3 linked regions of the Cricetulus griseus genome follow. The protein of the gene in region 1 purifies or fractionates together with the protein of each later gene. This does not show direct contact. Links are inferred from orthologs where the notes say so. Each region holds a gene or a part of one and is shown on either strand. Other genes may lie near its edges.

The links. The genes of interacting proteins can lie anywhere in the genome.
Region 2: the proteins of Tom1 (region 1) and Zfyve16 purify together in Homo sapiens (affinity purification with western blotting; 3 studies listed by BioGRID and IntAct, with this or other methods). This does not show direct contact. The link is inferred for Cricetulus griseus from reciprocal best matches to the Homo sapiens genes TOM1 and ZFYVE16.
Region 3: the proteins of Tom1 (region 1) and Cltc purify together in Homo sapiens (affinity purification with western blotting, with the first as the bait; 3 studies listed by BioGRID). This does not show direct contact. The link is inferred for Cricetulus griseus from reciprocal best matches to the Homo sapiens genes TOM1 and CLTC.

The regions. Positions count from the first base shown.
Region 1 is NC_048596.1:150,806,880-150,811,063, forward strand, and holds the start of Tom1 (target of Myb protein 1), read left to right. Parts: upstream 1-1,384; 5' UTR 1,385-1,490; coding exon 1,491-1,542; intron 1,543-4,184.
Region 2 is NC_048595.1:311,272,449-311,275,965, forward strand, and holds part of Zfyve16 (zinc finger FYVE domain-containing protein 16), read right to left. Parts: intron 3,292-3,517; coding exon 3,195-3,291; intron 555-3,194; coding exon 393-554; intron 1-392.
Region 3 is NC_048600.1:99,946,020-99,949,536, reverse strand, and holds part of Cltc (clathrin heavy chain 1), read left to right. Parts: intron 1-614; coding exon 615-760; intron 761-971; coding exon 972-1,155; intron 1,156-1,322; coding exon 1,323-1,515; intron 1,516-2,335; coding exon 2,336-2,493; intron 2,494-3,115; coding exon 3,116-3,280; intron 3,281-3,404; coding exon 3,405-3,512; intron 3,513-3,517. UniProt on the Homo sapiens protein: Clathrin is the major protein of the polyhedral coat of coated pits and vesicles. Two different adapter protein complexes link the clathrin lattice either to the plasma membrane or to the trans-Golgi network.

The sequences.
Region 1 (4,184 bases):
ACATACACACACACAGATACACACACATACACATAATTTATATTTAAAAAGTTTTAAGCCAAAACCTGGAATAAAGGTCAAGTTTTCATATTCTTACCCATCCTGGGTCTCAGGCTCCCAAGTATCATTTGCATATTGTAAAACTAGAGAACCTGATAAATTGTGGCTCTAATGCTTGGCCAGTGAAACCCTATACATTATGGTATTGGCTTAAATCAAGTATCCATCAGTATTTTGTCAGGGTTGCATGAAAATCCTGTGCTGAAAATATATAGTCCATGTCCCAGGAGCTTCCAGAGTCTTGTCTGAAGGGGAAAAAAAAAAAGACTCGCTGTCTCTGAGTCTATAGCCAGCTGGCCCAAAGTGAATGTTTGGTAATATTATGAACATTAAATATGTGGAAATTTGACCTTTCATGATTTAAAAAAAGTTAATAGAATACAACATGTTAAAAAGTATAAGTAGTGGGGGCTGGGGACCATTGGCTGTTCTTCCAGAGGTCTTGAGTTCAATTTTCAGCAACCACATGGTGACTCACAACCATCTGTCAAGATCTGGTGCCCTCTTCTGGCTTGCAGTCAGAACGCTGTATACATAATAAATAAATCTTTAAAAAAATTTAAGTAACAAAATAAAACTGGTGTTAAAGGCTGGGTTTTAATGATCACGACTGTAATTCCAACACTCAGGAGATCTGAATTTGAGACTAGCCTAGGGAGAGTATATATTAAAAAAAAAAAAAAAAAAGGCTGCAGAGTATGAGGAGTGAGATGGTTCACAGGTACTAGCTGCCATGTTTAGTCTGTGAGACCTACATAATGAGGATTGCTGCATGTTGTGATTTTTGACCTCTGTATTCACCATGACACACACACACTAAAGAGAATTAAAACATGTCTTATAAGGATAAGTCAAAGAAGAAATCACCGTCATTGAATGCCCATTACTGAACAATTTGCATGTCATCTTAATACTCTCAAAGCGTTATGGATAGTGTCCCCCTTTACCACTGAGGGAAACAGATGCAGAAAAAGCACTGTCCCCATTTGCCAAGTAGAACTGCCCTGGACATAGATGGAGTTCATTCGCTGCCTTAAGAGAGCACAAGTCCAGACCCTTGCCTCCTCTGGGCTACCCACAGGTGGCTCGTGGAGCAGGGAGACATCAAAAAGTCAAGGAGGCTGTTACTCTCAGGGCTACGTCCCCAGGACTAAAGGCTAAGACCCTGCTACCAGCCTGGGCTTGAGTTTGTGTAACTTGATCCAAGTCTTTCCCTGGCCAGAGACCCAGTTTCCGGATGTGAAGACTTCTAGGCCCCGCCGCAGAGTGAACTGAGGCCTTTCAGGGGCGTGGCCTGGAGGGCGGGGCCTCGGGGCTGTGCTCCAGAGCCGCCGCCCCGCGGGCCGGCCAGCGGGTCACGTGACGGGTCGGCGGCGCCGGCGGTTGCTGTCACCTGATTCTGGGAGCTGGTGGCAGCGGTAGCTGCGGCAATGGACTTTCTCCTGGGAAACCCGTTCAGCTCTCCGGTGGGACAACGCATCGGTGAGTCCCGGGAGCCGCGCGCAGCCGCGCCCCTGTCTAGCTCTGGCCGGGGACCTGTCGGAGTCCTTGGAGGAGGGAGGCAGACGGCGAGGCTGGCGCGGCGCTCTTGGCTCCGCCCCACCTGTGTTTCACCTGATTGACAAGATTGCGGACCAGTCAGAAGCCTCGTGTGGGGATTGATGCTGAGGGTGACCAATAGGCAGGGAGAGGAGGCGGATGTGGCTCAGCCAATGCGCGCGTGCTGGGGTCCGGAGTAGAAGGAGAAAGTTTAGGTTAAAGGGACTGCTGTGGTGAGCCGGTGTGGGGCCCCGCCGCCGCCAGGCTCGGGCAGGCCGAAGGTCCCTCCCGGGTTGGCCGCGCTCAGGTCATTCGCCGCGTCACCGGCCCCTCACATTCCGGGACTCCTGAGGTGTCTGGGCTCGGCCACGCCTCTGTCCCCGCTGTCGGGAGACTCGGGTTTGTGTGACGTCGCCTCGACCGTAGTTAAGGGACGGTGGCCCGGCCTTCCTGGGGTTGTTTGATCATTACATGCATTATTAAGCGCAAGGCACTGAGGATGCTGCCTGACACATGGCTAATGCTTGTCATTGTCACTGTGGTACCACCTTGTGGGGCTGGAGCCCGTGGGAAAGTGCCGGTTCCCAGTACCTACTCAGGTGGCGACATTTCTCCAGGGATGGGTGGTCTGGGTGTGACCCCTCTTCTTGTCTGAAGGGTCCCGACAGCATTGTGTAATTCTTTTTGGTGGCTTTTCTCCTTGGATCCAGACTGAACAGGCTGGATCTTTTAGTTAAGGCATTCTTTGCATTCTTCCTGCCAAGGCTTCCCCGAAGTCGTTAGCCCAGCTTTGTGTTGTAACCGCCACTGCTGTAAGTTTGGAGGTTCTCATCAGTTCTCTGCAGGGCATTGCTAGTGCCTGAAACCCAGGTGCTTCGCAAAAGCCCCATCTTTGAGTCCTCGTTTGTGACCTGGAAAGAGAAGACAACCCTCTTCACAAACTTCCTATGTAAAAACAAGCTAATTATTCCATTCTTCAAAGCCAACCACAAAGTCCTGAGACTTTCTGGATGTGCTTATTTAGGCTCAGTGTGCATATCAGTTGTTCAGAACTCAACACCTCTTCCTACCCTGAAAGGTTGCCTTCCTTGGGCAAGAAATACTTCTGGACAGACAGAATGGTGCTATATCAATACCTCAGTGCTAACTACATCTCACAACTGGACCCTCTGCCTTTTTTATGTCAGAATTGGCTGGACCCATCAGATTCAGACTGGCATCTGTGGAGTTCCCAGTAATGCTCTTTGCAATTGGCTAGGAGACCACAAATTTTACAGGTGTGAGCCACCAGAAGCGGTGGCTCACACCTGTAATCCTAGCACTTGGTAGACTAAGACAGGAGGATTGCCACCAAGTCTCAGGCTACCTGGACTACAAAATGAGTTTCAGGGCAGCATGGAGCTGCAGAATAAGACCCTGATTCAAAACAAAAAATACCAGTCTGCAAAGTCCTGTTACTGAAGGGAGGGGATTGAGTTCTACAAAGGGAAGGTGGTGAAGACTGAGACTCACCCAAAAACCCAGTGAATTGATAGCACAACTGAAATGAGCCTTCCAGGGCTACTAAAGAGGCTGTAAAAGAGCCCAGTGTGGTGGAGCATGCCTATAATTCCAGCCCTCAGGAGGCTGAAGTGGGACTATTTTCAGTTCAAGTCCAGCCTGGACTACATAGAGAGCCCTACCTTGAACAATATCAGTGTTCCATAGTCTTCCATGTATAGAGAGACAGAAGTACTGGAGATTGAAAGGGGTATGTATCTGTCTGTCTGAGATAGAGTCTCAGTTGTTGCCCAGGTTGGCCTGGAACTTATGGACCCAAGCAGTCCTCCCTGATCAGCTTCCAAGTATCAGAGACCTTGTCCCTATGCCAATGGGCCTGGCTGGCTGTGATGATCGATGGCCAGGTTTTAGGTGCTTGCATTCCTGTAATTCAGACCCTCCCCCCTCCCTTTGCTACAGGAGTAAAATGGTGTCTTCTCAGGTCTGGCTTCATGCCCTGAGAGTAGAATCTTGTATGATTGGCATACTAGAGAACAGCAATCACTAAATGGTGCTAATCAGGGCCCAGTGTCACTGTCCTCACAATTCATATACACCTGATGCTTGCTGGTCTCACTGCCTACAATGTCTGCTTCTGGGAGGAGCTGGGCTCATCCCTTAGAGCACTGGGCACCATCACCTCTTCCCTGCGGCCTTTCCTAACTCCAGCTCCAATTGCTGCTCTTTTGTTCTCTTGTCACTCTGCTTCCAGTAGGCACAAAACAGCTCTCACCTCAAGGGAAATCAGAGATAGTTTATCCCTGAGCCAAATATGAATTGCTGTGACCCAGGAACACAGATTCCTATCACCCCAAATAACATGATCCAGTATGGGAAATGGTTTCATGATGTTTTCGTAGCTACAGAAAACAAAAGTAAGCCAGAAATCAGGCAATTGGGATACAGCAAAGCACGAATATCTATGCTGCACTTCTCAGGTGCTAGCTGATGGCATTCCTAGCCCTTGGGTTGGTGGACACTAGTTTTCTATTAACTTATTCCAAAAGTGTTGCCTGATAGTCACAGACTTGTTAGATCACAACTCG
Region 2 (3,517 bases), on another chromosome or scaffold:
CCTGAGCACTAGCCCTAAGAAACTCCCTTGATGCTTCCAGTATTTGTCATACTGATTTTCCCAGAGAGCACAGCTTCAGACATATGGTGCTTTAGCCCCTAACCCCCATATCTGAGAGCTAAGCACCACCAAGTATTCTTCTCTAAGTGCTACTATTGCTTTCTCCCTTTTCATCCCCCAGTCCTAGTGGTGGCGGCAGCTTTCTGCAGTTATTTGTCTATGAGACTCCTGAGCGGGTCTTCAGTCTCCAACATACATGTTTAACCAATTCCCTGTATACATCCCTCTTGACCTTAATGGGTTTCTCTTTCCTGTCTAGGCTCTGACTGCCAGAGCATTTCTATCTGAATAACTAATCCTACGTGTAAACCACAGCAGTTTACTCTGGTTACCTTCAACATTTGGTTGTTTCAGTGCTGAGATGGGCAAAGCTGTAGGTGAAGGTATACTGGATGTGTGGGTCTCCTGAAGTGGCTGGGTGGTGGCACAATCTTTAGAATGATTAGACTTAAGACAAGAACCACTGGGATTCATCATCCTTTCAAATGCCTGAGCTATAAAGGGGGAAAGAATAGTATTAAAAACTCATGTTTTTAAACTTTCAAGAAAGCTATAATAATTTGATTTTCAAGTTGTAAGGAGAAAGAAATAAATGGCCAATCAAGAGAAAGTGGTACTTGACAAAGATGTACAGGCTCCTTTCTTTAGCTGGCAGCACTCCACTTTGGTAAGTTATAGACAAGTTATTTCAATATTTTTAATTGGTATATGCTTGATATCTACTACAGAAAAATCATCCTTATTGAGTATGAATATCTCTGTTTTTGCCCTTTTACTCCTAGAATCTACTAGCAACATGCTCCAGAGTGATTCTTTAAGACCTAAATAATTATTTCCTTAACACTCCGTTTAAATCCTTTATGGTTTTCTAGTTGAGTAAAACTTAGGTTGTCTTTCGAATGACAGGTCCTATGGGTTCTATATCCCTAGTCTCATCTCTCAGTACAACCCAAGGACTTACCAGGAACCAGCGACCTGTGCCTCCTTGTTCTTCAAGTTCAGCAAGTACAGCTTGGGCTATCTATTCTCCCTCTGCCTAGAGTGTTCTTCTACAGGTTCTCACATAGATCCAGTCTGTTTCTTTCAAGTCCCTAGTCACACATCATATTATCATAAAGCATTATTATGGCCACTAATCTGTTTCTATCTTTGTACATTTTAAGTTTAGGGTATTATTACCATCTGTTTATTATCCCCTTATCTCCACATTCAACAATCCCACATCAACAGAACATCTATTTTGTTCTCAGCTGGAACTCCAGAATACAGAATAGTGTCTGAATATCACTGAATGATCTTTCAATAAAAAAGAGCAGTACTGGCAACAACACCTTCAGCACTTCTCTAAACTGAAAGACCGTAAGTGCTATCACAGCTACAATCTTCCTTAATATCACTACATGACAGCACTCTTGGAAACTGTTTCTACTAACCAGTAAAATCCACATTCTAGATTCCAAGTCTATCAGAATCATTCACATGCCGATAAAACTCACACAATCTCAGCAACTTTCTCACTGTCCACAATTTCTACTCAATTTTTCTTTCATTCCTTCACTGACTTCATCACACAACCTTTGAATCATCTTTTTCACATCTGATAGCATTGCTTAAATGATCACTTCCATCATTTTCTAGTCTATAGTTGACATTTTATTGTAATATATTACCACTAATAGCTCATAAATAAAATATTAAAAACTCAAATAAAAACTACATAAGATATTGAAATAGAAAACAAGTATCTAAATAATTATAGAAAACAAGTATCTAAATAATTCATTCCGTGTGTGTGTGTGTGTGTGTGTGTGTGTGTGTGTGTGTGTGTGTGTTAATGGGTATTAAACTCGTGCTCTTGTACATGCTAGACAAGCACTCTAACATTGAGCTACATTTCTATTCCTCTACATTATATCATTGACGATAGACCATAATTTTATCTCAGTATTCTATTAAGTCTCTTTAATAAGCATATCTTTTTCTCTCTTGGACTGTATAGTCAGAATGACCTGTTAACTCAAATTTTCATGGCTTTTTAAGTAAGAACTTTCCCTAAAATTTGAATTTTGGCAAACTGTTTGGGCTAATAACCTTGGCAGCTGTCTTCTAGGCTACAGATACACTGCAAGAAGAAAAACAATTATAAGCAGGTAGCTTCTTAATAAACAATGGTGATAACATAAAAAATATTTTTAAAAATTATATTTTATTATCTTCCAGAGTATAGGTCAACAGCAGGGAGTAGAACAGCTTACCTCAGGCTAACAGACTCACATCAGAGCTTTTTGGAGAATTGCTGAAAAAATTTATCTTCATTCAAAAGAGAAAAACAAATTATTATCAGGTATTTATTCTCCTGGCTAATAGGAGCTAGTTCATAGGCCTGGCCAAAAAAGGGTCAAGTAATTTTCGTTGGGAATTAAATGGTCAGCAAATTTTTGAAAATGCAAGAACTACTCAAAAGAACAGATATGTATCTAGGGGTGAAAGCACAGCATCACACACACATACACACCAAACAAAAACAAAAACAAAAAAACCTGTGGGAACTCAAAGAAAACCACTGCTAAAAATGGAAACTAGCTAGAGAGCCAAGAAACAATGGGAACACACACATAACATTCTAAAAATGAAAATGGAAAAAGATGAGACCAAAATGTGCAAACAGCATGGTGGTCCTATGAGTTTTTAAAATCATATATAATACCTTATCTCTCATTCTCATTTCAGGCAACTATCTAAACGATAAGAACTACTACCTTGCCTTTAACATTAATATATAATATTGAGAACCAGTAAGTAGCTACTTGTATGAATGTTTCTATTAAGATGATGAGGATGACAATGATGATGAAACAGTAGGGGGATGAAATGCAGCACTTAGGAACTTAGTACCTGTTAAAAGGTAATGAACTGCTACTCCAGAACCTGAACGCTTTCTTTCCAGACTGGTAGTGTTAATTGTGAGAGTAGAACAAAAAGAGAAACCAAGCCTTGGGATGTCCCACCTAAGCCAGATAAGTCAACACTAGGTCCTTGCCTTAAGAAAATAAAGAAGTTTATCTTTGTCACAATCCAGTTTTTCTTAATATATATTCATTTAGTGGAAGAAAACATGTCAGGTTAATACTCACCTTTATTAATAGTCTCATAGCAGACTACACATACTCTTGCTTCCTTTTCTAGATACTGAAGCTTACATTTCCTGTTACAACAGACACCACAAAATACCTATAAAGAATAAAACACTACATTTGTTTTTGTCTCAAATATATTTATTAGAAGCAGGGGATAGAAGATCAAAGCCTAATAAACTGAAACCTTTCTTTATTATATGATTCATTTTTCTAACCACCATAATCATAAATAAATTATTTAATGTGCTTTAACTTAAATAAGCATGTTAGTTAATCTTGACTGCCTATATCAAGTGGAACGAGAGATGCCCAGGTGTTCT
Region 3 (3,517 bases), on another chromosome or scaffold:
ACAGTAATAGTACCTAATAGCACACACAATGCTCAAATCAATCATAGTGAATCTAACTAAAGTACCACAGTACACAAGTTTTTATACCTATATGATAATTGCAATCTCAAATTTAAAGTGCTAGTTATTGCTCATTATTATAATGATTCTTAAATTCCTCTGATAGACAAAGAGGTACAGCACTCTGAAGAATAGATTACTACCTCTGAGTTTTTCACTAACCCGGGGAAGCATTTCCAAGGCACATTCTCAAGTAGATAGAAAGCTTCCTGCAGTCATCATGGCGTCTGGGCATATGAAAGTAGCTAAAACCAGGGTTGTTCAATTTATAATCTATATCTAGGGATTTGAAAATAGGAAGCCATTAAAATAATAGTGGTAAGTGTTGTTATGGACAGTGTTTTATGAGGAGAAAGTAAAAATTACATAATTGCTCATGTTAATGTAATTATTAATGTGTGTTCATGTTTGTGTACAAAGATCGTTGTGAAGTTATAGGTAGTTTTTCTTCTATTTAAGGTTTTCTAATAAGTTATTTAACCTATTCTTAATAGGCCATGTCTTTTTAAAAATACTTTGATTTTTCATAACCATTCCCTGTATATCATCTGTAGGTTGTACAGACAGCCTTGTCTGAAACTCAGGACCCAGAAGAGGTGTCAGTAACTGTGAAGGCTTTTATGACAGCAGATCTTCCTAATGAACTCATTGAACTGCTGGAGAAAATTGTCCTTGATAACTCTGTATTCAGTGAACACAGGTACGCTGGCAGAGGATTGCACCAGCTTTCTGCTGTCTTTGATTGCAGCCAGTCAGTTTGGGGAGGCAGTTTTCTGAATTGTTACTCCTTGATACTCTGACCTCTTCCTACGCTTTCCCCTGAGACAGATCACCCTCCAGTGCCGTAGTGTTTATTCCTTATCACTGATGGGCTTTATGAACTTTGTGGTTCAATGTCTTGGTTTCTAAAGGAATCTGCAAAACCTCCTCATCCTCACTGCAATTAAGGCTGACCGAACACGTGTTATGGAGTATATTAACCGCCTGGATAATTATGATGCTCCAGATATTGCCAATATTGCCATCAGCAATGAGCTGTTTGAAGAAGCATTTGCTATTTTCCGGAAGTTTGATGTCAATACTTCAGCTGTTCAGGTAATCTTGAAATTAGATAAATTGAGATAATGACTTTGTGTAAAGAATGCATTGCCTTATGATGGCATGCACAGATTGCTGTCACAATAGAATAATCACAAAAATGCTATAGGTAATAATGAATAAGATCCATTTTACTGTAACACCAATTCAAAAATGTTGCCCAGGTCTTAATTGAACATATTGGAAACTTGGATCGTGCATATGAGTTTGCTGAACGCTGCAATGAACCTGCTGTTTGGAGTCAACTTGCAAAAGCTCAGTTGCAGAAAGGAATGGTGAAGGAAGCCATTGATTCATACATCAAAGCAGATGATCCTTCATCCTACATGGAAGTTGTTCAGGCTGCCAATACTAGTGGTATGACTTCTAATCTTTATGCCTTTGAGATCTTAGAAAATTGCTAAGCCAAGCATTTGGATATCTTAACGTTTAATTGTGTGAAAGTTAGATGCTTCTTTATTACTTATGAAAGCTTTTAGCCCAGCATGTTGACCCAGCTAAAGTCTGACTGCATTGTGTGAATTTAGAAGGTCCCCAGAGGTTAATTTTGTATTGAAGTCTAATAAAATCCTGATAGAACTCTGATATGTAACTTTAAAGGAAGCATGTAGGGAAGGTATCAAATATTCTTTGGGTCAATAATACAGAAGTATAGTGGAATTTTTATACTTTCAGGTATATTCATTTTTATGTGTTATTCTATGTGATGTTTCTTTGTAAAGGGAGTTAAGTTGCTGAAGTGATGTACACTTGCCATCCTAGCACTTGGGAAGTTGAGGCAGGAGGCCTTAGGTTCATGGACAGCCTGGGCATCATAATAATCATTGTGTGTGTGTTTGTGGAATGCTTGTGTGTAGGTACATGAAAGGCCAGAGGACAGGCTCTGTTTTCCCCCTTAAGGCACTATCCACTTAAAAAAAAAAAAAAAAAAAAAAAAGGTCTCTTGTTGGTCTGGGTATCACTAAGCAATTTGGGCCAGCAAGCATAAGCATATAGCAAAATCCACAAGCATAAGCATATAGCAAAATCCACTCTCAAAAAAATAAATTAATAATAATTGTAGTTGACGGTGGCGGGGGGCGGGGGGGCGCCGACACACTAATAGCAGATCTTATATATTTGGTTGAGATATAAAATAAGGATGCTAATCTATGGGCTTATTTGTCTCTTTATTTAGGAAACTGGGAAGAACTGGTGAAGTATTTGCAAATGGCCCGAAAGAAGGCTCGAGAATCCTATGTTGAAACAGAATTGATATTTGCGCTGGCTAAAACAAATCGCCTTGCAGAATTAGAAGAGTTCATCAATGGGCCAAATAATGCTCATATTCAGCAAGTGGGTTTCCTGTTTAAATATGTGTGTATGTTTAGTGGGATGCTTGTATATAGGTGCATGCAGAGGCCAGAGGCCAAGCTCTGTTTTTACCACTCAGGCACTATCTGCTTAAAAAACACAGACAGGGTTTATTGTTGGCCTGGGTGTCAAAAGGTAATTTAGGCCAGCTGGCCAGCATGTATAAAGGATTGGTTTGTCACTGCATCAGTGCATACTATCATACTTGGCTTTTTATGTGGGTGGTGGGTATTGAACTGGGTCCTAATGTTTGCAAGTACCTTTCAACTGAATTATCTCACTGGCTCCACATTTTAAACATATGTCAAACTCAAGGAGTAAGCAATTTTATCATTTTGGAAGAATCAACACATTAGTGCTAAGAAATTAAATTATCCTTAGAGGCAGAGTGTGTGTGTGTGTTCATTCATTTTGTTTGTAATTTTGGAGATGGAATCTCTCAGGTGGCCTTGAACTTGGGGTGCTCCTGACTCAACTTCTTGGGTACTGGATTACAGCATATGCAATGTCCCTATCTATTCCTCAGTGTAAAAATATTAACTTGAAAAAGGGATTGAACTGAGACCTCTATTTTACTGATCATGGATTACCTTTTCCCCACTAGGTTGGTGACCGTTGTTATGATGAAAAAATGTATGATGCTGCTAAGCTGTTGTACAATAATGTTTCTAACTTTGGACGCTTGGCATCTACCCTTGTTCACCTTGGTGAATATCAGGCAGCAGTTGATGGTGCTAGAAAAGCTAATAGTACTCGAACATGGAAGGAGGTAATCTAAATCCAAGTTTGAATGATGACTTAAGATTCTGTTTGAAAATTCTGTTTGTACTGTTGAGTTGAAATAACTGTCTGCATTTATATTTGGATTCTCATAGTGGAAAATTATATTCTAGGTCTGCTTTGCCTGTGTAGATGGGAAAGAATTCCGTCTTGCTCAGATGTGTGGACTTCATATTGTAGTACATGCAGATGAATTAGAGGAACTTATCAACTACTATCAGGTAAC